7 linked regions of the Sus scrofa genome follow. The protein of the gene in region 3 purifies or fractionates together with the protein of the main gene of each other region. This does not show direct contact. Links are inferred from orthologs where the notes say so. Each region holds a gene or a part of one and is shown on either strand. Other genes may lie near its edges.

Region 1 (3,500 bases), on a different chromosome or scaffold from region 3:
CCAGGACTATCTACCCAAAGGTAGATAAAGGGTGTTTAACATTCAGCCAAATCTTCCAGAGATGGAACCACATGCCAAGGACCTCTGACTACCAGGAAAGAAAGCAATCAAGAGGCCAAACACTAGAATCACCCCAAAGAAGTTGGTGTTTCATAGTCATAGGTTGAGAGGCATGTGAGTTTGTAAGGGACCAGTGGTGGTTTTTTTGGTCTGTTTTTTAGGGCTGCACCCATGGCATATGGAGGTTCCCAGGGTAGGGGTCTAATTGGAGCTACAGCTGCCAGCCTACACCACAGCCACATCAGACCTGAGCTGCATTTGCGACCTACACCACAGCTCACAGCAACACAGGATCCTTTAACCCACCAAGTGACGCAAGGGATTGAACCTGAAACCTCATGGTTCCTAGTCGGATTCGTTTCTGCTGTGCCATGATGTGAATTCCAGAGCCAGTGTTTTGGGGGCCTTTTCTCATCTCCATTGTGGAACCAACAAATCAAAAGCTAAACTGACCTGGAGTTGCTGGGCATCGGGCTCTCCATGCGCTGGCCTTTCTGAGATCAGGTCTTCCAGGCATCTCATCAACTCATACGTTTGCTCTGCTGAAAAAATCACCTAGGGGAGAGGTGCTGCTTCGCTTAGCTGCTCCCCAACCACAGCTTGCCCTGCTCTGGGTATGAGTCCAAGTTGAGCCAGCCTTTTGTGCATCCCGTTTGAAGGAGTGTGCTTTGGAAATGCAACCCAGGGAGGGCAGAGCACGCCTATTCTCAGGCCCAGCTCTTCGTGACAGGGCCCTAGGCTGAGCATTGTCAGCAAACAGCTGCTCCATTTCAAATTAAGTAGTCTGCTTTGCAGAATCTATTTCCAGAGTTGGCACCCTGGGGGGACACGCACACAGACCCACTTAGGAGATGATGGATGTACATGCATCTGCAACAGCTACAGGATGAAAGGCATAGAAGAAAATCAAGGTGGACTCAGTATACCTGTTTCTGTTCCAAGAGGGGCAGGGCGTCTGTTAGTAGCGTCATCCAGAAAGACCGGGGGGCAATCTGGGACGTCATCAGTGACAGGAGAAGAGAAGCAGCGTCAACAAAACGCTTCTCCCCATATAACCGGTGGAACTCACGGTACTTTCCTATGGAGAATGAAAAAAACCAACAGGTCACCCTGGCCCTAACACAGACTAGCTATTCCACAGAGCAGGGAAATTCTTCCAGAGCAGCCTCCAAGCTCATGGACCGATGGAACCAAAAGGATTCAAAACACATGCTTAAGGAGTTCCCGTCGTGGCTCAGTGGTTAACGAATCCGACTAGGAACCATGAGGTTGCAGGTTCGGTCCCTGCCCTTGCTCAGTGAGTTAAGGATCCGGCATTGCCGTGAGCTGTGGTGTAGACTGCAGACATGGCTTGGATCTGCGTTGCTGTGGCGTAGGCCGGCGGCTACAGCTCTGATTAGACCCCTACCCTGGGAACCTCCATATGCTGTGGGAGCAGCCCAAGAAATGGCAAAAAAAAAAAACAAAAAAAAAAAAAACAAAAAAAAACCACAACACATGCTTAAAGGAGTTCTGCAGTGCAACCACAGGCTGGGTGGCCTAGGAATTTCTGCATGCCAAGGGCTTGGCCAAGAAACAAAAACAAACCACCACATGCTCACAAGGGGCTCCAAGGAGCCACATGCCAGAGAATATAAACATCAAATGTTTACTGATGTAGGAGTTCCCTTCGTGGCTCAGCGGATAATGAATCTCACCAATATCCACGAGGACGCAGGTTCGATCCCTGGCCTCGCTCAGTGGGTTAAGGATCTGGTGTTGCCGTGAGATGTGTAGGTCGCAGATGCGGCTTGGATCTGGCATTGCTATGGCTGTGGTGTAGGCTGGTGGCTCCAGCTCAAATTCGATCCCTAGCCTGGGATTCTCCACATGCTGGGGGTGTGGCCCTAAAAAAACAAAAACAAAAAATGTACTGATATAAATGAAAGAACATAGGGGGACAAAGGGACATCTTCCATTCAGAGGAATGCCAACTAAAACACAAGGAATGGTAGTCAGAAAACCACCAGTAGTTACTACAACTAGTGGGTCAAAGTTTGATGAGGAACAAGGCACTTAAATAACCCACAAATTATTAAAGGGAAAACCAGTGCTACGCAGAGGAGACCCCAGTGGCCACCACATTAACCAAGCCGTCACAGTGAACTCCACCAGTAAGGGGATAGACAGCTCAGAGAACACACCACCTCAGTGGAATTCCTGCCCAAATACACCATCTGCGCCTGCTCATGAGATAAACCCAAAGTGAGAACCTTCTACAAGAGCTGAACTGACTCTTCAAAAATGTCAAGGTTAAAGAAGCACCAAGAAAGGCAACAGACACTAGTAAGACATGAAAACTAAATGCACGAATCTGGACAAAATGAAGGGCGTCCCTGATGGAATCAGAACGTGGCCTGTGAAAGGGTGTTAGATCAGTGCTGAACGTCTTAATTTTGAGAACTGGTTAAAGAACTATTTTTTTTTGTCTCTTTAGAGCCGCATACCTGGAAGTTCCCAGGATAGGGGTCGAATCCGAGCTATAGCCACCAGCCTACACCACAGCCACAGCCAAGCCAGATCCGAGCCGAGTCTGCAATCTACACCAGAGCTCAGGGCAACATGGGATCCTTAACCCACTGAGCGAGGCCAGGGATCAAACCCGTATCCTCATGGGTACTGGTTGGATTTGTTACTGTTGAGCCACAATGGGAACTCCAGTAAGAGACTGTTCTTACTAAAGGAAACACATATGCAGGTGTTTATGGAGAAAGGAAAACAGTGTCTCCAACTTACTTTCAAGTTATTCCCAAAAAAGCCTGACTGAGAAATGAGGCCAGATATGTAACTGGTGAGTCTGGGTAAAGAGTATAGGGGAATTCCTTACTTCTTATACTATTTTCATAACTTTTCTCTAAGTTTGAAATTACCGGAAGATAAAATGTTACCAAAAAATATGCCTTGGGAGTTCGGTCGTGGCGCAGTGGTTAACGAACCTGACTAGGAACCATGAGGACGCAGGTGCAATTCCCTGGCCTCGCTCAGTGGGTTAAGGATCTGGCGTTGCCCTGAGCTGTGGTGTAGGTCACAGACATGGCTCGGATCTGGTGTTGCTGTGGTGTAGGCCGGCAGCTACAGCTCTGATTTGACCCCGAGCCTGGGAACCTCCATATGCTGTGGGTACGGCCCTATAAAGACAAACAACACAAAAATATGTGCTTTGCAGAGACTGGCACACGGGTCTATGTGTTTTGGCCTGGAGAAGTCTAGAACCATCCCTCCAATCTCTGTAACGGCCCACTTGTGCTGAAGGTCCAGGGGCCAGAGGCCAGACTCACCCAGGAACGTCAGTCGATCACTGAGCATCATGGCTGGCCCCAGGTTGTCAATGAGATCGAGGTCGGAAAAGCAGCCTCGCTCACAGTAATCCCTGAGGAACCTGCAAGGAAGGCCCGGCCTGG
Region 2 (3,500 bases), on a different chromosome or scaffold from region 3:
GTACTAAAAATACAGTTTTATCGATCTAAAGTACACAGAAAATTCATTTTACATTTCCGTCACCCAAAACAACAGCTTGTGGTCTCCTCCGATTGCACAGAGTGGGAGAGTTCTATGCCAGGAAAGGCCAGATCCAACAGCTACAGAACCAGTGAGGATGGGCTATAAAAATATGTGAAGTAAAGAAGCTCAATACATTATTGACATTAACAAATAAAAACTACCTTTCAAAAATAAGAAATATGATTGATAAATTATTTTTGCTTATGTGGAAATAGAATTAAAAAATGTGCTCCCTCATAGACGAAATACACATTATTTGTTTGCAGCTGGCTGGAATGAAGGATACAAATAAAATCTATGTATAATCGGTACAGTCCAGACTCAAACATTTTTGCAGTATAAACCAATCAAGCAAGCAAAATTATTGTACTTAAATGAAGGCGGAAATAAAATGCCTCTTACATGAATATTGGCAAAAAGTCTATTACCATTTGATTTAAACATCAAAAAATGCCATCTCCTTCCAATTTAAGCAGGTAACAGACATTCATAAATGTTTTTGGTTACACATTACAAATCCGGGGGCTATAAGTGGAAAAGTACAAAACAAATTTAAAAACACATATGCGGAGTTCCCATCGTGGCGCAGTGGTTAACGAATTCGACTAGGAACCATGAGGTTGCAGGTTCAGTCCCTGCCCTTGCTCAGTGGGTTAACGATCCGGCGTTGCCGTGAGCTGTGGTGTAGGTTGCAGACGCGGCTCGGATCCTGCGTTGCTGAGGCTCTGGCGTAGGCTGGCGGCTATAGCTCCGATTCAACCCCTGGCCTGGGAACCTCCATATGCCGCGGGAGCGGCCCAAGAAATAGCAACAACAACAACAACAACAACAAAAAAGACAAAAAAAAAAAAAACCACATATGCTACCAAACATCTCCACATTACCTGAGGGTGCCCTAAATGATGAATTTGAAACTGGCTTGCCATTTTGCCAGGATAACCAGTGGTTGCAAACAAGTTTTCATTAATCATGGACCATCTAAGAAAACATAAAGTATGAAAATTAGTACAGTATTCTACAGGTAACTATAAGCTTTTCTAAAATAGGTTATTTCACACCTGGGAGATAATAAGGACCTTCTTCCCCTTCTCACCCAATGACAAATGCAAGACTGAATTTCTTTACTGCCTTTTTCATTTTTTCTCTTTCTTAAAATATTTTAAATTATGAGTCTCTTGAGGGAGAGAGTTTTTAAAAAATAGGTTATTTCTTTTTTACACAAAAATAATTTTATAATCCTAAATTTGATAATATGGCTTTACAATGAGACTGAGAATTTAGGGAAGTGATCATGGGATACTTTGTTAAATTTCGCTAGGTTAGCAGTTCCTTTCTTATAACCAAAGGGCTGATGGTATTTATGACAGGAGATACAAACAAGGAATCAGAAAATATTTCACAGTATACTACATTAAAAAACCCCACACATTTAATGTTCTTATTGACATTTGTCTTAAAATTTGTGATAAACTCATGAGTTTAAACTCCCTGAAATGATGTAAACACTTAGAATACAAAGATGTTTAAGGCATTACAGACATTGGAATACAATGAATCAATGAATTAACAAGTGTTAATGGAGCTCCAGCCACAAGCCCAGCACTAAGAGGTGCAATGTGGAGCTGTAGGAGGGAAAAAAAAAGATTCCTTGACAAAAAAACAAACAACAAGACACAAACGGCTAAAGTCTACTTAATATTTTAGTGTGTGGCAGACATTATTAGTTGCTTGTCCAACAGCCATTCTACCTTTTTTTCTGCTAACTGAACCCCACCTATGTTCTGGCAGCATGTCTGACCCCAAGGGATGAGACATAATTGCTATAAGGCTAAGGCAGCCATCCCCAATTATGAGAGTGCTCCTCCTTCTCCTTTCAGGATAACGTGGTAAGAGGTGATGATGGTCAACTGGTGACTGTGAAGCAACAAGCCCAAAGCCTTGCCGCTGAGAATGGCAGAGGGAAAGTCTGAATTCTTAATGACATTGATGAGCTACTAAACAATCCTGAGACTACCTCCTTCAGACTTGGGTACAATAATTCACTGACTAAAATGCGTGTTTGCTTATATCTCTGAAATCAGGATGTACCTTATCATCTATGGCATTCTTACATTTAGTCGAATACATTTCTTTCTTAGGAGTACATAAACAGTAGTGTCCCCAGTTTCTACAATTTTATTGGGGGTATTTTAGATTTGATGAAATAGTGTATATAATAAAAGTTCTACTTTTTTTTGGTCTTTTTTTTGGTTTGTTTTTGGTTTTGTTTTTGCTTTTTAGGGCTGCACCCATGGCACATGGGGGTTCCCAGGTTAGGAGTCTAATCAGAGCTACTGCTGCTCAGAGCTACAGCTGCTGGCCTAGCCACAGCCACATCAACACCAGATCCAAGCCGAGTCTGCAACCTACACCACAGCTCGTGGCAACACTGGATCCTTAACCCACTGAGCGAGGCCAGGGATGGAACAGAAACCTCAGGGTTCCTATTTAGATTCGTTTCCACTGCGCTATGATGGGACCTCCCCCCCCCCTTTTTTTTTTCCTGTCTTTTTTAGGGCCGTACCTGCAGCATATGGAAGTTCCCAGGCTAGGGGTTGAATTGGAGCTGTAGCTGCCTTTCTATGCCACAGCCATAGCAATGCTAGATTCTTAACCCAGTGAATGAAGCCAGGGATAGAACCCACAACTTCATGGACAGTAGTCAGGTTCCTTACTGCTGAGCCACAACAGAACTCCTGTTCTACTGGTTTTTAGTCTCCGTTAGTAAATTTTCCTGAAGCTGAAAGCACAATAATGACTATACTATATGATGCAATATTATGTAAAAAATGAATGAAAAAGAACAAAGTACACAAGTATGTTAATTTAACTGAAAAAAGTTGCAGATATGTAATATTCGACATGTTTTCATTTAAAGAACAATAATGTAGTTCTTTACAAACATGCGTCCACCTATATTTTACATCTTTATCAGCACAAAAAATAAGAAAGCATATGCTCCCAATTGTTGGGGTGATATTGGTAGAGTGGCAACATGTTTTGTTTTATAAAATTTTTCCAAAAAAATTGGAAAAATCTTTCACCTAGACCAAAAGACAAAAGCAAAGTGTTAGGAGAGCCAAATATCCATACATTTATAGAACAATCAGGGGAAAAAAAAGAGAAAAAAATCAGTGCAAGAGAGGAATAGGAAAGTATTTCAGGAGTTGGCACAGCACAAAGTAACCAAACTCAAAAAGTCAAATTAAAACCCTAACAAAAATGGTACATTACCTGAATAAGCAGGCTCGATCCATGTGGACAGGTCTCTTATCTTGAGGGTAACTAAAAGACAGTAATTTACTTTTATGAATTACGTAGTGGTCTCAAGTAGAGGAACCTAAGTTTTAAAAGTTATTTTCTCTCTTAAGGACACAATGTCCAATATACTTAAACTG
Region 3 (4,073 bases):
CACCAGCAAATACCTTAATGAATAAGATAGAGTTGCACCATTTGTCCCAAATCCCCAATCTTTCCACACCAGGGAATTCCTTTAATAACAACTATGCTCCATGCATTGTATTTGTATTATAGCTAATGAGTCATTGTCCCCATTTTCAACTTGAGGAAAGAGAGGCTCGGAAAGAAGTAATATGACTTCATCATCCAGAGAATCAGTAATACAGCTACAGATCCGAGACCAGAGCCTACCCTTAAAAAACAGGCGACCCAAGAGGCCCTCCCCCTTTGTTCCCTGCAATATTTCTCCATTAGAGGGAAATTAAGGGTCTTGAACACTGAAGTGGGGGTGGGGGAGGAGTTACTGCTCCGAGGTCCAGCCCTGAGTTCTGTAAGACCCGACTACTCAACCCCTTCTCCAAAGCCCCTTGATAGTCTGGGTCTATTGCACTCTGAGCCTTAATTAAACTTCATCCCTCCAACAGTGACCGTTTCCTGCTAGGACTCTTCCTTCCAATTTCAGGAGAGGAAACTGAGTGATTCTGACTCACCCAACTGGTGCCTAGGCTCCATTCTAAGTCACTGGATTCCTTAAAGCCATGAGGAGCCCAGAGCTGCCAGACCATGTGTGGCTGAGGGGAGATCCCAGGCTCTGTCCAGCTGTACAGCCAGTGGGAAGCCAGAGACCTAGGGTTTGGGGAAGCTGGGGGTTGTCTCCTGGGCTCTTGCTGCCTGAGCCTGGCTGAGATCTCTCCTTGCCTGGAAAATCTATCTGGTGGGCCTGACTCACAGGATCCCAGAGCCGTGAGGAACAGGCAGCTTGGAGGTCTGTGTCTTCCAGCTTGGAGAGGGCCTGGCGAGAGGCTCAGCCTCTGGTAGGGGGTTATTCCCTGGCCTTCTCTGTCCCTGGTCCCAACCTTGGGGTCTGTGGAGAGACCAACAACAAGGAAGTACTAGGACCGGTCTACCCATTACCTCAAAAATTAATCCCCCTACAATGTTCAACATAAGGCCAGTGGCACCCAAAACCGCAGAGAAGTGGGTGAAGGTGTAGTTATGTATGAGTCCTTTTTCTTAAATGTGTGGATCTCAGGAAAAGGGAAGAGTTGGCAGAGAGAAGAGAGACTAGACCTTCAAATTCCAAGTCCCCAGATCCTGGTCGCAGTGGAAAGGAGAGTCCCGCCCCTTTACGTCTTGCGCAATCTGCACCGAGAAGGAGTGGGGCCAGGGGAGAGCTTGGCACCGCCCCTGAAAGGCCCGGAACCTTTGTGCGAGCGGAGCGTGCTGCTACCCGGAGGCTCCCTCTAGGTGCCCGAAGGCCGGCCAGCCCGGCGCCGGAAGTGAGCTGTTCCCGGGCGCCGCCGGGTCCTGCCACGTCCGAGGCCTGGAGCCGCCACCACCTCTGCTGTTGCCACCATGGTGAGTGCTGGGGACAGAGTCGCCGAGGGGGCTTTCGGCCGCGGCCTCTCGGATTCCTCGTTGCAGGGAGGTTGAAGCCCCGGACTGGGGCCATTCAGCTCTCCGTTACCGCTTCGGGTTTGGAGGGCCGCAGCCCTACAGGTCTGAACGTTTTGGAGGCAGAGGCCGGGGGAAGGCTAAGCGGAGGCCGCGGAACCCTCCGGAACGCTTCGGCCCCCGCTGCTGCTGCGTCTCCTGCTCCTTGCTTTCCTTCTTGTTCTCCAACAATGGGAAAAAAAACCCATAATACCTTAGGAGGTACTGTATCCTGAGCCCTTGGTAGGTTCCAAGCAGTGTTCCTAATCTCAGTCGGCTAACAGCTCCGTGAAGTCGGTGTTGTTATTATCGACCCTTGACAAATACGGAAGCTAGAGGTTCAGGGAGGTGAAGCTTTTTGAGCAGCGAGTGGCAGAGCTGAGATTCAAACCCTCGAAACCATTACTTTCCCCCTCCTCCCTTCCCAGCAGAGGTGTTTATGGAGTAGCTGCCTGGCCCAGGGCCCGGAGGTGTGATGGGCATTTTAGGAAACTGATGTAAAGATGAACTGAATGGCTCTCTGAGGCAGGGGCTCAGGTGTTTAAACGTCTGTGGTGCACAGTGTACATTGACTCTGCACTTATTCATCCAGTGAATGACCGCCAGCGGGAACTAATGAATGGAAGCAAATAGCCTGAGCCTGGCACAGAGTGAGGGTTCAGTAAAACATTGCTCTCAGGAAAATGGGCGTGCCTGGGGTTTTGAGGAAACCCAGGTGGTCCCAGGAGTCAGGACGCTGGCTTTGGTTCTTGCTCTGCAGGGGACCAGGTTTTAAATTACTCGGGGGTTTTTTGGCCTCTGATTCTTCAGCTGATGAGTAGAGTTGGGGGTCTCTTATGCCCTGACACTCAGCTCTTTCTAATTGAGTTTTTAAGTCATTAATTCTGAAAAGCTGATTGTTTTTGAGGGCCGTCTCTTATTAATGAAACCAGACGACTTGAGGTGCTCAGGAGGAAGGGCTTTTTTTAAAAAAAAAAAAAAAGGAGCTTAAAAAACAACAACAAAAAAAACTACACTTGTTCAGAAGCATGATTGGTGGGTGAGAGTGATTCAGAATAAATGCTAGTTATCTCCAAAGTCCTTTGGTGACCTAGTATGAAACTAGCAGTAAACATTCTTCCTGCTCCTACTTAGCCTTCAGCTCTTGACTGAGGGAATTGGGCGTAATGATGATTCTGTGTTCTGGAGAGGCAGCCTCTTCGGGTAAGAAGCTCTGTGGGCTCCAGGTTAGCAGGTGGAGCTCTTCTCCCAGTTCCACCTTAACTAGCTTTAGTCATTTGAACAAGTGCTTTATCCTCTCGGGGCTTTTTCATTTCCTTAGTCTGTCAGACAGCTCTGCCCTTTGGCCTTCCCAGTGCACACGTGAGCACACTTTATAACCAGGACAACTTGGCATATGTGGGAGATGCCTCTCTTCCATACTTGGCTTTGCAGACCTCAAGGGCCTGCTGCATAGGGCATCTAGATTTGGATGAGAGAACCCTTGCTTACTTGACGTGTACCTTTTGAACTGCTTTGCAGCCATCCTCTTCCAGGGTCCTGACTTTCGGAAAAGTCAGGTCAGACTTTATACCTGCAGGGCTTCTGCTGGAAAAAGGTGAAATGGTAAGAAATATTGGTTCCAGGTGTTCCTATAGTGGCTCAGCTGGTTCAGAACCCAGCTAGTATCCATGAGGATGTGGGTTCGATCTCTGGCCCCACTCAGTGGGTTAAGGATCCAGCATTTCCATGAGCTGTGGTGTAGGGTCACAGACACAGCTCAGATCTGGCGTGGCTGTGGTGTAAGCTGGTAGCTGCAGCTCTGATTGGACCCCTAGCCTGGGAACTTCCATATGCCGCACCCGCGGGCATAAAAAGAAAACCAAAACAAACAAACCAACAAAAAAAACTCTGTCCATTTTTGTTCATTTACTTATTCAGCAGACAGCCACTGAGTTCCTTCTGGTTGCCAAGCACTGTGATTTGAGAGCATTCAAAATTCCTGATGAACCTGACCCTGGTTCCAGGCAGCTCACCTTCTAGTTGTAAGAAGAAACAGCATAAAGTGTCATAGACATTTAGTGTTGAAGATATTCAGAGGAAGCCAGCCAGTTGGGAAATCTGGGAATCTTCAAGGAGGGGAGGCAGGGAGTTCCCGTCGTGATGCAGTGGTTAACGAATCCAACTAGGAACGATGAGATTGCAGGTTCAATCCCTGGCCTTGCTCAGTGGGTTAAGGATCTGGCGTTGCCATGAGCTGTGGTATAGGTTGCAGACGCGGCTCAGATCCCACACTGCTGTGGCTCTGGCGTAGGCCGGCGGCTACAGCTCTGATTAGACCCCTAGCCTGGGAACTTCCATATGCCACAGGTGCAGCCCTAGAAAAGTCAAAAAGACCAAAAAAAAGGGAGGGGGGAGGCATAATTTGAGCTGAACCTCAGAGAATGGGTAGGAAGGCGATGACCCTAGCAGCTGTGTGCCCGCCCCACAAACTGGGCTCTGTCACAGGTGGTGGAGCAGGGAGCAGCCTCGGGAAAAACTTGAATCAATTCTCAAAGTCTTAGGTATTAACCCTGTTATGCAAAAAACTGCCTAGAACATGAGAGTCTGTCA
Region 4 (3,500 bases), on a different chromosome or scaffold from region 3:
TCATTTCCTTTTGTGGAGAAGTGGGAGCTCAAACCAAGTATGGGATAGGTGGACTCATGCTACCAGATGTCACCACTTTTAGGTCTATTCAGAGGACAGAGCCAAGAATTACACTTTTCAGACAACCACGGTTATATCTGACATCTGCAATTCAGGCTCCTTCTGTATTTATATCTCCTTTCTCCTTGGTTCTCAAAAATAACAATACACTCAATCATATCAATCCACAATATACACAAAATGGTTTCACTATTATGACACCAAAAAGTTTTGAATTCTGAAACCAATAGCTTCAAAATTACTACCACCTATAGCAAACCCACTAAGTAAACGTCAAGTTTCTTTGCAGTTCTGGTTCTTAGCATCTGAGTCACTAAAGTTGTAATCCAAATATTGTTCAAATCATTTGAATTTATTCTTCAGGAATTCTTACTTAAAGCACAAATTCCTTTTCTATAGAAAGGGAATCCTGACTATGAAAATGGGTAACTGTCTAAGGACACTGACCAGAAAGCACTCCCTCAAAGGAGAAAGGGCTCCTGTTTCTAGTGGGTCCCAGTAAGCGCTAATAGGAACCCATTCTAAGAGTACACTGACAGCATGACTCATGTGTAGTCTTCTGGTTCAAATACTGTCTTTTACCTTCAATTTTTTCTTGTAGTATATCTTCTGAAAAGTCTGAAGCTAATGCAGCCAATTTACTCAAACCGAGAAGGGTTTTTTTCTTTGCAAAGTAACGAGTTTCCATATTTGCCAAACCTAGAAGTGTTGCATGAGCCTATAATAAACAAAATATGAAAACTGTAGTAAGGTCCTGGATACTAACTCACATTTTGAAATGAAGGTTAAATACAACCCAAACTTGGTTCCCCTACCCCTAACCAAGCTCTATCAATGGAAGATCAAGGCACTATCAACAAACCTAAAAACAGAACAGTACCATAATTTGAGAGTGATTACACAATAAATATCAGTCACCCACACTAATCACTGGGAAATGAGACATAAATAAAACATTTGCTCTATAACAATTATATATTCACTTTGACACCCTATCAAGGATAGACTTTAATTCATGTACAGTTTTGACTGGTAATGTGAACATTTTTATTATAAGAAAAATTCATTACAAAAGAAGGCCAATGACTGCTATTTACATGTTAAAGTTTTTGTGATTTATTTCACTGTAATAATAGTCAAGTCATAATAGGTTTAATTCTTTTTTAACTGAGGTATAGCAAGTAATGGTAATACCATCATAAATGAAAAATACTTGTATCAAATTATGTGAAAGGAGACATACTTTAAAAAAAATCTGTAAGTAGTATTTAACTAGTATTCAACTATTCAAAAACCTAGTTAAAACTAAATTAAAAATTGCCTAAACCTACTCTATATAACTGAATCCTTCTTACCTTTTCTAATTCATGGCTGTTAATTTCGTGTAACCAGCTGAGATGTTCATGAGCTTGCAGAAAACTCGCCAACTGTCCATGCTGAGAAACGGGCTGAGATAATAATTTGCCCCGCTTTCCTTTCTCAAGATACCAACGGAAGAGAAAGTCGGAAAAATTCTACAAAGAAAAGAGCCAAGAATCCAATAATATTTAGTAATACAGTTTTAAAAAATACACTTCTGATAATAAATTTCTTCCAAAGGAAATTTTTTTTTTAGGGCCACACACATGGCACATGGAAGTCCTCAGGACTAGAGTTGTAGCTGCTGGCCTACACCATAGCTCACAGCAACGCTGGATCTTTCCCACTGAGCAAGGCCAGGAATCGAACCCACATCCTCATGGATACTAGTTGGGTTCATTACTGCTGAGCCACGACATGAACTCCTCTTCCAGAGATTTTAAACTCCAGAAGAGAAATCCTGTTTTAAACACAAATTTCCTACACTGTAGGGCTAATCACCTCATTTGCCTAATGAGAACATTCAGTCAGAAAGGGGTATTGCTGAAGTCTCAAGATCACAGACTCTAGATGTGTGTTGTCCAGCATGGAAGTCTCTGGTCACATGTAGCTGTTTAATCTAAAATGTAAAATCCATTTCCTCAGTCACACCAGCCACATTTCAAGTACTCGATGGCCACCTGTGGCCAGGAGCTCCCATCTGAGATAGCATCTATGAGCAAGATCTCCATTATCACAGAGTTCTACTGGGCAGTGCCGAGGCTCTATCACTCCATAATGAAAGGTTCTCCGTAGAACTGTGTGCCAGAGAGGCCCCAAACTCCAGCCAGCTTTCCATGCAGGATGTTTGCGGGATGCTAGAGTGCTATGAGAGGCTGGGCTGGAAGGAAGACAAAAATGTCTTGCAGTCTCATCGTATTTCAGAGATAGCCCCAGTAAAGGGGAGATTCTGCAAGAAACACACCAGTCCCACAAGAACTTTGAAACCAAAATGAAATAAATGTAACAAAGGGGGAGGCAGGATCAAGATGGCTGAGCAGTTAGGACGTGGCACTCCTTTTCTCCCACAAACACATTAAAAAAAAACCCAAACCTCAGAGTTCCAATTGTGGTGCAGAAGAAACCAATCCAAATAGTATCCATGAGGATGTGGGTTCAATCCCTGGCTTCACTCAGTGGGTTGGGGATCTGGCGTTGCCATGAACAGTGTGTAGGTTGCAGATGTGGCTTGGATCCTGCATTGCTGTGGCTGTAGTGTAGGCTGGCAGCTGTGTTCCCATTCCACCCCTAGCCTGGGAAATTCCACATGCCACAAGTACAGCCCTGAAAAGAAAAAAACAGTCTAATCTTTTTTGTTTATAGTGGTTTCCTGAATTTTATACAATGTTACTTGTTCTTTTTTTAGGGCCTCAGGTACAGCACATAGAAGTTTCCAGGCTAAGAGTTGAATCCCAGCTGCAGCTGCTGGCCTATAGCACAGGCACAGCAACACCAAATCCGAGCCATGTCTACACTGCGCCATGATGGGAACTCCAGTGGGAACTTTCTTTTTAAAAAGTAAGCATTAACAAAAAAATAGGGGAGTTCCTGTCATGGTTCAGTGGTTAACGAATCCAACTAGGAACCATGAGGTTGCAGGTTTGATCCCTGGCCTCGCTCAGTGGGTTAAGGATCCGGCGTTGCCGTAAGCTGTGGTGTAGGTCACAGATGTGGCTCAGATCCCAAGTTGCTGTGGCTGTGGCATAGGCCGGTGGCCACAGCTCCAATTCGATCCCTAGCACGCAGTCAAAAAAGGAAAACAAAACTCTTAGGTGTATGGAAATTTGAACTCTGTAAAAGTAGCTCCCAAGATCTTCTATTCAAATTCCAGAGCTCTACCAACACCCACATATACCCAAGGACTTTTCATTAGAACTGAAAACATAAAAACAGAAATAAAAGTCTCAGCGTATTTTTCAAAAGTCAAAGAATCTTTTAATAATATTTATATAGAGATTTTCTGCCAATTTACTAGGAAACATAATGTACAAATTAGTATTTACTTAACTGCTAAAAGACTGTACCATCTTTCAAAATCCCCA
Region 5 (3,500 bases), on a different chromosome or scaffold from region 3:
CACTGAAAGCACAAAAAAAAATCTGAAAAACAGACATGGTGTAGATTGTTCCCTGTATCATTCAGTGATCCTTCAATGAGAAGCCAGAGCAGAAATTTCTCTTGACCCCAAGGCCATGAAAAGCCTTCCCTTGCCAGAAAAAACTAAAGTGGCTTATCTAAGGGAAATATAAGATTTACAGTTATATATTGATTTTTTTCTTTTTTTTTTTTGGTTAAGAATCTCAGCCTACCTTAAATAACTACATGTTTTTGTATGTGGTCTAATTTTCCCTGTGACCTCCTCTTATTATTTTGCCTTTGACAGGATTTGTCTTTATATTTTATATACATATATAATAATAAAAACACACTATTTTCATTCTTATAAGTTGCCTTTAGCCTTTGGAAGATGGAATATCTCAAAGCTCTGAGTTTTAAAGGCTAATCACTCTATGGCATAATATTTAGATTTTTTTTCTTTAAGACAGTGGAAAAAATAAATTACGCTCACAATTTGTTTTAAAAATAATTAGAATAATGAAACTCACAGTGTGTCAACTGGAACATCAGTTGCTAAACACTGACTTCCCCACTTAATGAGGTAATAGGATAAGAGTAGGGGAGCTGTTCGGTGTAGTAGGTCTTGCTGAGCTTGAAAGAGCTGACCAGCTCCCAAAATCACCTGTACATGATGGGTGGGTGGGTGGGTGAAACAGTAAACAGCAATTAGCAATGGTAATTCTTAGGTTTAGGTATAGATAAAATAAAACAACACAGTTAAAAAGGGCATTCATAAAAGCAACATACCTACAAGCATACACAAAAGCAACACACCTATTACATTTTGGGGCGGCATATGGCAAAAACATCTACCCTAATAGCAGTACAAAACAATCAGAAAAAGCTCACAAGGTCATGTGAGCTGATGGTGAAACAGAGCAACAACAACATCAAGCTTAACTTTCATTAAATCTGTAAGTCCAGAACTCAAGAAGGGTAATAAGGAAATCTAAGTCCTTTCTGAAGCCTCTGGTCTTGGGTAAAAATAGATATTACCATCAGAGGAAAATGTGATAAGACCACCAAAGCCTCAAACATGTGGGTAACTTGGGACCAATCAATTCTAGTTCTTGGAATTCATCCTGGGGACATAGTCAAAGGAGTAAAGAAAGTTCTATCAATAAGAGGAAAACTGGCCACAACCTGGATGGCCACAGGATTGGTTGAATAAATTAAAATTGTACCAGGCAATTATTAAAAATAATGTTGTACAAAAATACTTGATAACACGTGAACGTGCTGGTGAGATTTGTAAAGCAAAGGAATAAAAATAACCAGATTACAAAAACGTAATTGGCATATGCATATATGGCATATGCAAATTTTGTAATTAAAATTTAGAAACTATCTGCAGAGAAAATGAGGGTATATACGAAAATGTAAATAGTGGCTAAACAGTTACAGATGAATTTTTATTTTCTTTTTGTTTATAAATACAGGATTACCTATAAAGATTCTACAATGAATATCTATTTCGTGTTTAGAAAACACTGACAAAGATTATAATTAAAAACAAAACAGAACAAAACCCAAACCTGAAGAAATGGAAGAGTCTACAAAGACTGAAAAGAACTAAGCAAGGGCTGCCCTGAGTGAGAGACTCTCAGGAAGGTTCCTGTTTCTCCCTGGTCGTCCTAAACAGATCATCTTCCTATTTTGTCCTTACTTTTACTTGAAATCCTGCCACCAGCAAGGTATTTGAGTAAATATATTCTGACTTGAAAAGTATATATACCTCTTGGGCTCCAAAAGCCTATCAGTTATTTATATATTAACATGAATTAGTTTAATCAGATTGCTTCCTTATGAGGCTCAGATAAAATTACTGAGTGAGAGACAAATGGGCCTTCTGCTGGTGGGCAGAAAGGGACATTTTTTTGAACATAAAACATTCATCGCTACTTGGCTTGTTGGCTAAGATCAAGTGTAGTATCTGTTCTTATCAGTTTAATATATGATACGTCCTCTATCTGAGGACAATATATTAAATGGATTTTTGGGGCTAGGAATTGGAACAGGAGCTTGCTCCATCCACTCTGCGCATCAATCTGGTATTGTAGTACTTCCAGGAACGGTGCACCCCCTCTGGGTGGGGGGGGGAGGGGAATTCAGCAGGGTGGGAAAGGACAGGAGGAAGGCAACAAGAATCTGGTGGCCTTAGAAGAGGATGGAAAGGAAGCACAGAAAGGAGCTGGGAGGATCCCTAAAACAGACTCTGTCATCTCAAAACTTCTTAGGGTAAATCCTATACTGCAGAAATAGAGTTTTTTTCTTCTTCCTTTCTTTTCTATACCAACATCCAACGTTGAACTAATAACACTAAACTTGGGAGCTCCCTAGTGGCTCAGTGGGTTAAGGACCCAGCACTGCAGGTTCGATCCCTGGCCCAGGAACATCCGGATGCCACAGGTGTGGCAAAACAAACAAACAAACAAAAAACCTCCTAAATCTGCACAGAGCTGACCTAGGAAAATTTCTCACTATTATACATACAAAGGTTAAGAGTAAAACAACCTGCTTCATAGATGTTCTTACTCTGTAATTGTAGGTTATTATGCGTACTCATTCTTAATTCGACATGCATTTTATAGAGTACTCACTATGGGCCAAGCCTGGGGGAGAGAGCAGTGAACAGAGACAGAAGTCTGTGCACAAAAAGCTGGCATTCTGCTATTGCGCCCATAGGTCTCGATGAGGATTTAGATTTCATAAGCTCTCCCCTGAGTAGTACTTACTGCATCTCCCAGCCTCATTAGTAGCTGCTGTAAGATCAACAGATCTCGGCAGATGAGGAAGCGAGTACTGGCAATCTTACACACATTTCTGCACACAATATACCCAGCTGTGCTACTACCATAGAGCTGGGAAAGATTCATTCGAATATTCAAAGGCTGAGCTGTAATTCAAAAAGAAAAAGTTAAATGGATTACTGTTTTCTCTAAATCAAATGAAAAAGGCATGTTTGTTGTTTTGTCATTTACCTGGATTGAATCCCTTTTCCATTTCCACTTCTGTTTCATAATCCATTTCCCGTATAACAAGTCCAATGGCATGGATTGGGTTCCGAATCTCTTGCAGTTTACTGCAAATATCCTCCATCACATTGTCTCTATGAGGAAATGAGAAAACTCCTATTACTACTGAGACCACATAAGACAGATTCTACACATCCTGTAAGCTAAATGCTCTACGAAACAGGAAAACCAACCACATAATAAAAGAGTGGAGATAATCATGCTAGCACGCAACATATTTTATTCCATGTAGCTAATTTTCCCTCTATTTTTCAGAAATGACAAACAAAATCAATGTGAGGAAAATGTTTTAAAATTTACAGCTTAGTTAATAGCCAGGCCATAACTTATGAGTCTGTTTCCAGACCCAAGTTAATGTGTGAGACTTTCTGGTTAAAAGCTGCAACACTGGAGTTCCTGTTGTGTCCCAGCAGATTAAGAACCC
Region 6 (4,216 bases), on a different chromosome or scaffold from region 3:
TCAGAGTCCACGTTCCCCAAATCTCCAATAGACCACAGTGAAACATAATTTTCCTGTAAAGCAAAGACGAAATACACGTCAAACTCGCTGAAATTAAAATTTTCATTGCCTTCAATCAACCTTGTTTTAAAATCGTTTTAGGCAAATGGGATGATAATCCTTGAAAACACAACGAGATTCGAGACTCAGACACACACACCATCGATGGCTTTGAGATACTGGGCAACCGAGCATGAGACAGGCATTCAGGGGACAGAGAAGGGCGAGAGAAGCTAGAATCGGAGAGAGTTCGCGCGCTGGCAGCCGGGGGTGCAGTTCTAGGAGGGAGAGAGGAGGCAGGGGCCCGGGAGTAGGGGTACCTCATTGTCCCAAGAGCCCGTGGCGAAGGTCTCCGCCGTCTGCAGGCTCCCCGAAGATAGCGGTCGCCAGCGGGTCTTGCTGATTTTCTGTGACACAAACTTGGCATAAATTTCCTCCATGCTGAAAGCAACCCGGGGGAGGTAGAGGCAGAAGCAGAGGTAGAAGCACAGCGCGCGCCACTCAGTCCCGCCCCTTTCCGCTAAGCCTTGATTGGACCGGACCTCAAGAGGACGGTGGCTACAGAGGGCCAATTTTCCTCCGTCTCCAGTGCGGGGAAAGAACCAGCAGCCCCTAAGTGGGAAGAAGTTGGGACGCTCTTCCTCAGCCAGGCGGCTCTGAACAGAGGCAAGAGTGTGCCCGTCCCCGTGCTGTAGGATCTGCTCCAAACCTGCAAAGTCAGCATGTGAACAGTGACGCGGTGCATTTCTGCAGTAACTGTGCAATGCATAACAAATTAAAAAGCAAAAAGCAAAAGAGTCAACGAGAGAAAAGCTCTAATAGCCACACCTAAGTATTAAGTCTTGAATTTCACCGTGCATAGAAAAGATTCAAAATCCTTATATTCTCATGGAAGTACATCCATTAACGTACCAATTTATTATTCAAAGCCTCTCTCTCCCTGTCCCCCAAACAAATCCTTCTCTTCAAGGTTTTTAATACACACTATCAAACGAGTTGGAATTCTGAAGACCCCAGTTATAATTTTGACTCTCATTGCCTTTGTAGCCTTCCTCAATTCATTTATGCATATAATTAAAGATGATTTTGAAATGTAACGTCGACTGCTTACCTCCGCCCTTAAAAAAAAATTCCTTTCTGCCTCAGAATCTTCCCTATCTTTCAAGGATTAATTCCTTCCTCTAGTTTTTTTTTCCTATTACTTCAGCCCAAGACGATCTAAATAAATATATCCCTTAATATCTAGACCACTAAGAGCACTTACATTTTGCTTCCTGTTGCTAGCTTTTTTTAAAAATGTAAACCTCCCCAATTAGAAGGTAAATCCTATTATTACAAAAGATAGGACATATTCATCTTAAAAAAAACCAAACAAACCTCCTTTATACTATAGCTATAACTGTGTTGGTTATTTCTTTAAATGGGGCCATGATTTTGTGTCTATCTGATCTTGGTAGTCCTATTTCACAGCCAGTTTGTGGAAGCATCGCATGGAAATGCAATCCATCTAGGTCAGCTTTGGAGACAGTTATCAGGTTCTTATTGAAAACTGACTGGTGTTTTGCTTTTAACTGCAAGATTATTAAGAAATTAATAATGAAATAGAAAATTTAGAGTCCCGAACTGAAAATTTGCCCCCAGTATTGAAGTACACTTTTCTTTACTGTTGCAGAATCCCAAGAAATAATACATATTTCAGATTAGGGTTAGATAAGTGTCACATTTGCCAAGGACTGGTGAGAAGCTTGAAAATTGTTGCTGACACAGTGGCACTGATGTTTTGACATAGCTTTATTTCCTTCCTTAAAAGTTTATTGTATTAAGTGATATGATGACTGGATTTTTCCACTCTCGGTTCTGACTATAAGTCAGTGAGTTGGATGCTACAGGCAATGTTCCTTGTCAGCTTTTCACTCATTCTCTTGCACAGCTAATAGCAAGAAAGCTGGTGTCCAGTCTAACGGTGGAATTTGTGAGGCTTAAATAGCTGAAAATGCACACTTGTGTTGGGAGAACAACACATTTGCCATAGGATACTGTAGTATTTTTAACAAGTTCTGAGAAGCACAGCATTCCCCACAGTCCACCCCCCACGCCATGTCTCAGTATTCTTCCACTCTTCTAATTCAAGCTCTACAGCTGAGAACAAACTAGGATCCCAAAGTCTCTGCTCACAAACGCTAACTTACTTATCACAAGTCAAAGGCTGGAGTACTTGGGTTAGAGAGGACCTTTTCCTTCCAGTTCTATTACAGTTATTCAAGCTCCACCATAGGGAGCTCTGGATCTAACTGACCTATGTATTAGTCATTCATTGGGTTGGGCGAGGCAGGACGGAGAAAGCCCACCGTCTAACAACCTGGACAGCTATAGGAGCAGCCCCGCCGCTTGCAGCAGCTGACCCAGCGGCGACTGCAGAGCCACCGGCAGCTGCGGAACCAGATCGGCCCTACCATCCTTTCACCGCGCTGGGTGACCAGAGCTGTAGTGAGGCACGCGACACCGACCACGCCGGGGCCCACCCCGCCCGCCTGGCCGCAGGGCAAACCCAGCAAAGAGGCGTTGCGCAGCCCGCGGCATCAGAAAGGCCACGCAGCAGAGGCGGTGGCGCTGACTCAGCCGGGCCATCCCGCCAGTCCCGGGCAGCCGCAACGGGACCTAACGCGGGCGGCTGGGCACCAAGCCATCCCCGCCTCCGGCCCCACCCCGGCCGCACCCGAGGCCGCGCGGCGTCACAAGGCGCATGCGTGCCGCGGGGCATGCCGGGAGCGCGCAGTGGCGGCAGCAGCGGCGACGGCAGTCACAGCGGCGGCCACAGCGGGGACGCGAGCGGGGCGGTGACCGTGTGGGAGGTGGTCTCACTCTTGGGGAAGCTGCTGGGCACCGTCGCCGCGCTGAAGGTGGTTCTGTACCTGCTCCGGGTGTGCCTAGCGATGGCCTGGAAATCCGGCGGCGCCAGCCACTCGGAGCTAATCCACAACCTCCGCAGTAAGTGCCACCCCCGCCCGGTGTGGGGCAAGTGGGGAAGGCCAGGCCTGGACCAGGTCCCCCTGGGCCGCCCGGAACGTTCTGTCCCTATCCTCCTCCCCGTGCCTGTTGGAGGGCTTAGGCGCAGGGTTGCACCAGCGGTCCCAAATGGCAAGCGCTTGCGATTGCCTCCCCTGGGACCTGTCACTCTTCGGGGACGTGGACGGGAACCGGAGAGAAAGACCCAGGGGCCGCTGCTGGTGGGGTAGGGACAGGCGTCTCCCCGCGGGCCTGGGGGAAGGGGCGAGGCACAGGTGGTGGGGCTGTCACTCGAGTCCGTCCCCCCCTGATCGGGGTCCGGCGAGGGGCGTGTCCTGAGGAGTGGGATGTTGGCCAGGTTTCCTGGAGACTGGGCTGGAACTGAGGGGACCCCGCCCTCGACCCCCGCGTCTTCTCACCTCCTGCTCTGTCGTAATCGACCTAGCTGCAAGCTTTCTCTCCTATTCTGCCTCCCCCGCCCTCTGATTTTTCCTCTGGAGGGAGATGCCACCGTCTGATACTGGCGAGGGGAGGGAGAGGAAGATGAGAGTATTGTCATTGCGGATGCTGGGAGAAATTTCTGGGGCGGCTGTCCAAGGGAAAGCTTCGTGGGGGGCGGAGGAAGAAATCATCAGGGGATGCTCTTCCCGAGAGACATGTATTTCAGGAGCCGTTAGAGATACTGGGATCCAGCAAAGGATTGTATATGTGGAATGTTCTAACTTTTTCCAGGGCTACTGTATGCTTTAGAAGCTTTGTATGGAAGTTTCTTTACACCATTCTCTTTAGTTATTGTATTCCTTTCTCTGATGATAATTTTAGGGTGACGAGTGCTGTGTCACTTTCTTTTTTTAAATCGAAATATAGTGTCGCCGTCTGGTCGGGAGACCAGAAAGACCAGAGTTCGTAATACTCTCTCACTCTGGTCAGATTTGTAGCCCACTTCTTTGCCCCTGACTTTGCAAATAATCACATCCTGCCACGTGGTATTTTTAATTATATGCATGTATATATATATAATATATTATAGATTATTTAGCTTTTCATGTGTTTGTCATGTTTCCTAATTCGATTTGTAACCTCCTTGAGGGCTGAGACTTTTTAAAAAACGTATTTGAGTTCTCTCAGAGAACTTAATAATCTTTCCTTTTTTCGTAAATGTCAATTAAAT
Region 7 (4,144 bases), on a different chromosome or scaffold from region 3:
ATTTCTTAATTAAAACTGCTGAGGAGTTCCTCTCGTGGCTCAGTGGTTAACGAATTCGACTAGGAACCATGAGGTTGCGAGTTCGATCCCTGGCCTTGCTCAGTGGGTTAAAGATCGGGCGTTGCCATGAGCTTGTGGTGTAGGTTGCAGATGCAGCTCGGATCCTGCATTGCTGTGGCTCTGGCGTAGGCTGGCAGCTATAGCTCTGATTAGACCCCTAGCCTGGGAACCTCCATATGCCGTGGGAGCAGCCCAAGAAATAATATAAAAAATTTAAAAAATTTAAAAAAAAACTGCTGAGTTTTGGTATAGTATCAAAGAACATGCACAATTATCTGAAAAAGGTATTAACCTATCTCTCCTTTTTCCAACTACATATCTATGGGAGGCCAGATTTCCTTCATATAATCCAACCAACATATTACAATAGATTGCACAGAGTAAATATGAAAATCCACCTGTCTTCTATTAAGTCAGCTTTTTTTTTTTTTCCCACTGGATTCTCAATAACGTTTAAGAGTATAAAGGGGTTCTGAGAATCACCTCCTTTGAACTCCAGGGCTTAATTCAAAATCAGAAAGCCTAGTAGAAAAAAGGCTCTATGAAACTGTTACACACAGAAGAAAACATTTACACACAGGCAATGGCCAGATTTAAGTTTTTACAACAGGTAACAAATCTAGATTCTAATTCTACAGCCTTACTTTTTCACCTCTCCTCTTCCTCACTCTTTTTCCTCTCAATATTTCTGCACTAAGATTACACTTGCTCATTAAATTACACCTATTCTATTTCTTACATTCTCGCTTTCCAGCAGGAATTTCAAAAACATCCAGCCTGTTTCTTCCTTTTTTTTTTTTTTTTTTTCTTTTTAGGGCCATACCTGTGGCCTATGGAAGTTACCAGACTAGGGGTCAAATCAGGGTTGCAGCTCCAGGCCTAAGCCACTAGCCAGGTCAACAAAGGATCCAGGCCCCAGCTGTGACTTATGCTGTACCTTGCAGCAACACTGGATCCTTAACCCATTGAGTGAGGCCAGGAATGGAACCTGCATCCTCGTGGACACTATGTGGGGTTCTTAACCCCTGAGCCACAAAGAGAACTCCCACCTGTTTCTTCTTAACTGGTCCAATTACATGGCCATGCAAAACATCTCCCCAACTTACCTCACCTTTCCAAGGGAGGATGGTATTATTTGATAAGCATATAATATTCCCTAATATTACATTTGTATAAAGCATAAAACCAAATAAATATGATTAAAACGCAGCCTTAACTTACTAGTCATTACACTTTTTTTTTAAAGTGGTACAAAACACAAAAGGCCATTCTAAAGAAATGCCTCATTTTTCAGTACAATTTATAATCACTGAGAGTTACTTTAGTTAAATAAAAAAGCATTAGTCACTTTAACCTAGCATATCAAATGTGTGCCCATATATTTTAAAAGGCTTTACCTATTCAATAATAAGTAAGAGTTTTTCAATACTTAAATGTTAGCCCTTTTGCACATACCTAAGTAAAAAAAAATCAGGTAAATTACAAGTAAAATTTGATTTCATTCCAATCAGATGTATTTGTTAATAATTAAATGTGCCTCTCCAACTCTCCTGTTCTAAAAATCCTCAATAAAGTGTCTTCAACTAATTCCCACGACTAGCTTTATTATATTAGACAAATAACCTCTATATTCCTCAGTTTCTCATCAATAAGGTGAAGGGTTTACGTTAGAAAACTACAAGGCCCTTTCTAAATCTAAAATTCTGAGCCAATTAAAAATGACTGAACTTCCAAAAACAACCGTCAATCAGTCCACTGGAGAAGGAAGACTTAACATGAATTTATGTTTAAATCTGAAACTTTTTAAACCAAGTTAATTTGGCTAGTTATCCACAGCTTTGATGAGTGGAACTTGACGTCCACGTGAAAACGTGAATTCAACATACTCCAGTGATTACATGCAGACTTACTATGGCTTTTCCTTTATCACCAAAACGGAAAAACACTTAGGGTCAGACTAAAATAATGACTGGTCCGATCTGAAAACTAAACTCTATTTCTAATCAAGGCACAAGGTGTTAGCTCTACCTGGCACTTTTCTCCTTATCCCCTTTAATTCCCAAGGCCAAACTACGGGTGACGAAGTCACCTCGGTTCAAAGTCTAGGGCTCTTTAGATCAGGAAAGGAATGAACCAAGAAGCCAAAGTACCCTGAAGCGGTGACGGGTGGGGTAGGGAAGGCAGATTGGCCCGAGCGGAGGGTGAGGTGCGAGGAGATGCCCGAACTGCTGCTTTTCACCCGGGACTCCCATCTTTCACACCTGATCCAGGGGAGCTGGGTGATGGGGTAGCCCAGGCCCAGGTAGAACTAAGCAGAGAGTGGTGGGTGAGAGGGTGACAGGTTCGGGGCTCAAGGCAGCCCCCGCCGGGCCCAGTCGCCGCCCAGCACACTCGCCTGCCCGAGGTACCAAGAACCGACACCACGCTTGAGACCTCCGCCCGCTGCCGACCCGCCGCCGCTCAAGCCGCCCCTCCCCCGCTTCCCACCGAACACCCGCGGCCCCCCAAGGGAGCCTAGAGGAGGCGGCCCTGAAGTCGAGCCTTACCACAAGGGCACCTGGTACAAGATCCGCGCCTGTCGCAGCCGCCGCCTTACAAAATCCGTCCTCTCCGCCGAGCCGAAGCAGCCGTGGCACCTCAATCAAGGCCGGCGCCGCCCCGCCCCCGGCCTCCGCGCAGAACCCTGCTGGACCAACATGGCTGGTGCCGCCTCTGCCACGTCAAAGGGAGGGGGAGGGGCGGGGCGAGAAGGGGAGAGGGGGAGGGGACGACCCTGGAGGCGGGGCGAACAGGCCAGAGAACAGCAGGGAAGGGTGCGGGACCCGGCCGGGCGGAGCAGCGCGTGGGGAGGGGATGGGAGGAGAAAGGGGAGGGGAAGAGGCGGGGACGGAGCCGAAGGGGCGTGGCAACCGTGACAAACCCGAAGGGACGCTGGACCCGCGCGGAACTGGAGCGCTAGGGTGGGGCTGCGCGGTGGCGCTCCTGTCCGCTCTGCCGGGAGCCACTGCGGATCCCACTCTCTGCAGGCCGCAAGGAGGTAGGAAGGAGCTCCTGTCGCTAGATCCTCAGTTCGCCGAGAGAAGTGGTGGAGTCCTGTGGGACACTCTCTCCTCTAGGTCCCTGGTTGGTTCCAAGAACCACAAGTTCGTTTTTTCACTTAGTGCAGCAAATGTTTACTGAACATCTGTCTACATTGGGCCAGACACAGTAGTGATGTTGGTGATATGACTCAGGCAAAACAGGCCAAAATCCCTGGTTTGCAAGAATTTGCATACTATTTATGTACTACTTAGGTATGCCTATTCATTTTACCACTTTCCTCCACTGCCTGTGTCACCTCTGCCCCTTACACACAGCCACACACACACTACAATGTTTCGCTGATTAATCTTGATGTGTTTTCTGCTTCTCACTCCACAAAAAGAATTGGGAAAAATGGGACAGGCAGAACAGGCTGGAAAGACATTCTAGCTTGGAGGTCTCAGGCAACCCCATCCTTCAGTGACTGGGTTCCTCACAAAATTGACTCTAGATATGACAACATCTAAAATCCTGCAAAGCTTAGCCCTATAAGCATTTTATGGAATAGAGAAAAAGAAGAATTTTTTTGTTCTTCAAAGCTTATATTTACAAGAAATAAGATACACGTCAAACATATATTTTTCTTTCTCTAAGCTTGTTTTGTAATGTAGAAGAGAATGAGTTTACTTGTCAAATTTTAGTACAATCCTGAAGAGGAAATGGGAATCAAAAACCAAAATTCTGGTAGGCCTGCAAATAAAGTGGGCTCCGGGTGCTTACCTTAATAAGGATTCTTAATTGAAAGTGCAGCAAGAAAATAGCTGTGGACGATGATATAAAGGTTGCATAAAGATGTTCACAAAAAGAAATATGGTCTAAGAATGAGTAGGGTAAATAGACATAGATGAGAGGATCCACAGGAGTCCTAGAATTCAATGAGGAATAAACCAAAGTATAGTACCTTTGGTAATTTCATTCATTTCATGATTCCCAGAAAAGTATCTTTGCCATTTAGGTCACTGAAGTCTAAGAAGTCATAATCCCTATGTTTTCATCTGAAAGA

Evidence for each region.
Region 1: the proteins of SEC13 (region 3) and NUP85 purify together in Homo sapiens (affinity purification with mass spectrometry; 5 studies listed by BioGRID and IntAct, counting the BioPlex papers as one, with this or other methods). This does not show direct contact. The link is inferred for Sus scrofa from reciprocal best matches to the Homo sapiens genes SEC13 and NUP85.
Region 2: the proteins of SEC13 (region 3) and NUP37 purify together in Homo sapiens (affinity purification with mass spectrometry; 5 studies listed by BioGRID and IntAct, counting the BioPlex papers as one, with this or other methods). This does not show direct contact. The link is inferred for Sus scrofa from reciprocal best matches to the Homo sapiens genes SEC13 and NUP37.
Region 4: the proteins of SEC13 (region 3) and NUP133 purify together in Homo sapiens (affinity purification with mass spectrometry; 4 studies listed by BioGRID and IntAct, counting the BioPlex papers as one, with this or other methods). This does not show direct contact. The link is inferred for Sus scrofa from reciprocal best matches to the Homo sapiens genes SEC13 and NUP133.
Region 5: the proteins of SEC13 (region 3) and NUP160 purify together in Homo sapiens (affinity purification with mass spectrometry; 4 studies listed by BioGRID and IntAct, counting the BioPlex papers as one, with this or other methods). This does not show direct contact. The link is inferred for Sus scrofa from reciprocal best matches to the Homo sapiens genes SEC13 and NUP160.
Region 6: the proteins of SEC13 (region 3) and NUP43 purify together in Homo sapiens (affinity purification with mass spectrometry; 3 studies listed by BioGRID and IntAct, counting the BioPlex papers as one, with this or other methods). This does not show direct contact. The link is inferred for Sus scrofa from reciprocal best matches to the Homo sapiens genes SEC13 and NUP43.
Region 7: the proteins of SEC13 (region 3) and SEC23A fractionate together in Homo sapiens (co-fractionation; 3 studies listed by BioGRID and IntAct, with this or other methods). This does not show direct contact. The link is inferred for Sus scrofa from reciprocal best matches to the Homo sapiens genes SEC13 and SEC23A.

The regions. Positions count from the first base shown.
Region 1 is NC_010454.4:6,072,973-6,076,472, forward strand, and holds part of NUP85 (nuclear pore complex protein Nup85), read right to left. Parts: intron 3,479-3,500; coding exon 3,378-3,478; intron 1,139-3,377; coding exon 987-1,138; intron 616-986; coding exon 514-615; intron 1-513. UniProt on the Homo sapiens protein: Essential component of the nuclear pore complex (NPC) that seems to be required for NPC assembly and maintenance. As part of the NPC Nup107-160 subcomplex plays a role in RNA export and in tethering NUP96/Nup98 and NUP153 to the nucleus.
Region 2 is NC_010447.5:82,139,939-82,143,438, reverse strand, and holds part of NUP37 (nucleoporin Nup37), read right to left. Parts: intron 3,388-3,500; coding exon 3,337-3,387; intron 1,042-3,336; coding exon 948-1,041; intron 163-947; coding exon 49-162; 3' UTR 1-48. UniProt on the Homo sapiens protein: Component of the Nup107-160 subcomplex of the nuclear pore complex (NPC). The Nup107-160 subcomplex is required for the assembly of a functional NPC.
Region 3 is NC_010455.5:66,521,612-66,525,684, reverse strand, and holds the start of SEC13 (protein SEC13 homolog), read left to right. Parts: upstream 1-1,273; 5' UTR 1,274-1,403; coding exon 1,404-1,406; intron 1,407-4,073. UniProt on the Homo sapiens protein: Functions as a component of the nuclear pore complex (NPC) and the COPII coat. At the endoplasmic reticulum, SEC13 is involved in the biogenesis of COPII-coated vesicles.
Region 4 is NC_010456.5:60,387,920-60,391,419, reverse strand, and holds part of NUP133 (nuclear pore complex protein Nup133), read right to left. Parts: intron 1,575-3,500; coding exon 1,416-1,574; intron 779-1,415; coding exon 643-778; intron 1-642. UniProt on the Homo sapiens protein: Involved in poly(A)+ RNA transport. Involved in nephrogenesis.
Region 5 is NC_010444.4:14,867,556-14,871,055, reverse strand, and holds part of NUP160 (nuclear pore complex protein Nup160), read right to left. Parts: intron 3,151-3,500; coding exon 3,023-3,150; intron 2,938-3,022; coding exon 2,777-2,937; intron 664-2,776; coding exon 530-663; intron 1-529. UniProt on the Homo sapiens protein: Functions as a component of the nuclear pore complex (NPC). Involved in poly(A)+ RNA transport.
Region 6 is NC_010443.5:16,248,103-16,252,318, reverse strand, and holds the start of NUP43 (nucleoporin Nup43), read right to left. Parts: upstream 2,801-4,216; coding exon 2,588-2,800; exon of another isoform or gene 480-2,587; coding exon of another isoform or gene 447-479; coding exon 360-446; intron 54-359; coding exon 1-53. Other genes in the region: PCMT1 (protein-L-isoaspartate(D-aspartate) O-methyltransferase), read left to right, coding at 2,799-3,027. UniProt on the Homo sapiens protein: Component of the Nup107-160 subcomplex of the nuclear pore complex (NPC). The Nup107-160 subcomplex is required for the assembly of a functional NPC.
Region 7 is NC_010449.5:61,112,416-61,116,559, reverse strand, and holds the start of SEC23A (protein transport protein Sec23A), read right to left. Parts: upstream 2,801-4,144; 5' UTR 2,607-2,800; exon of another isoform or gene 2,420-2,606; intron 2,348-2,419; exon of another isoform or gene 2,277-2,347; intron 1-2,276.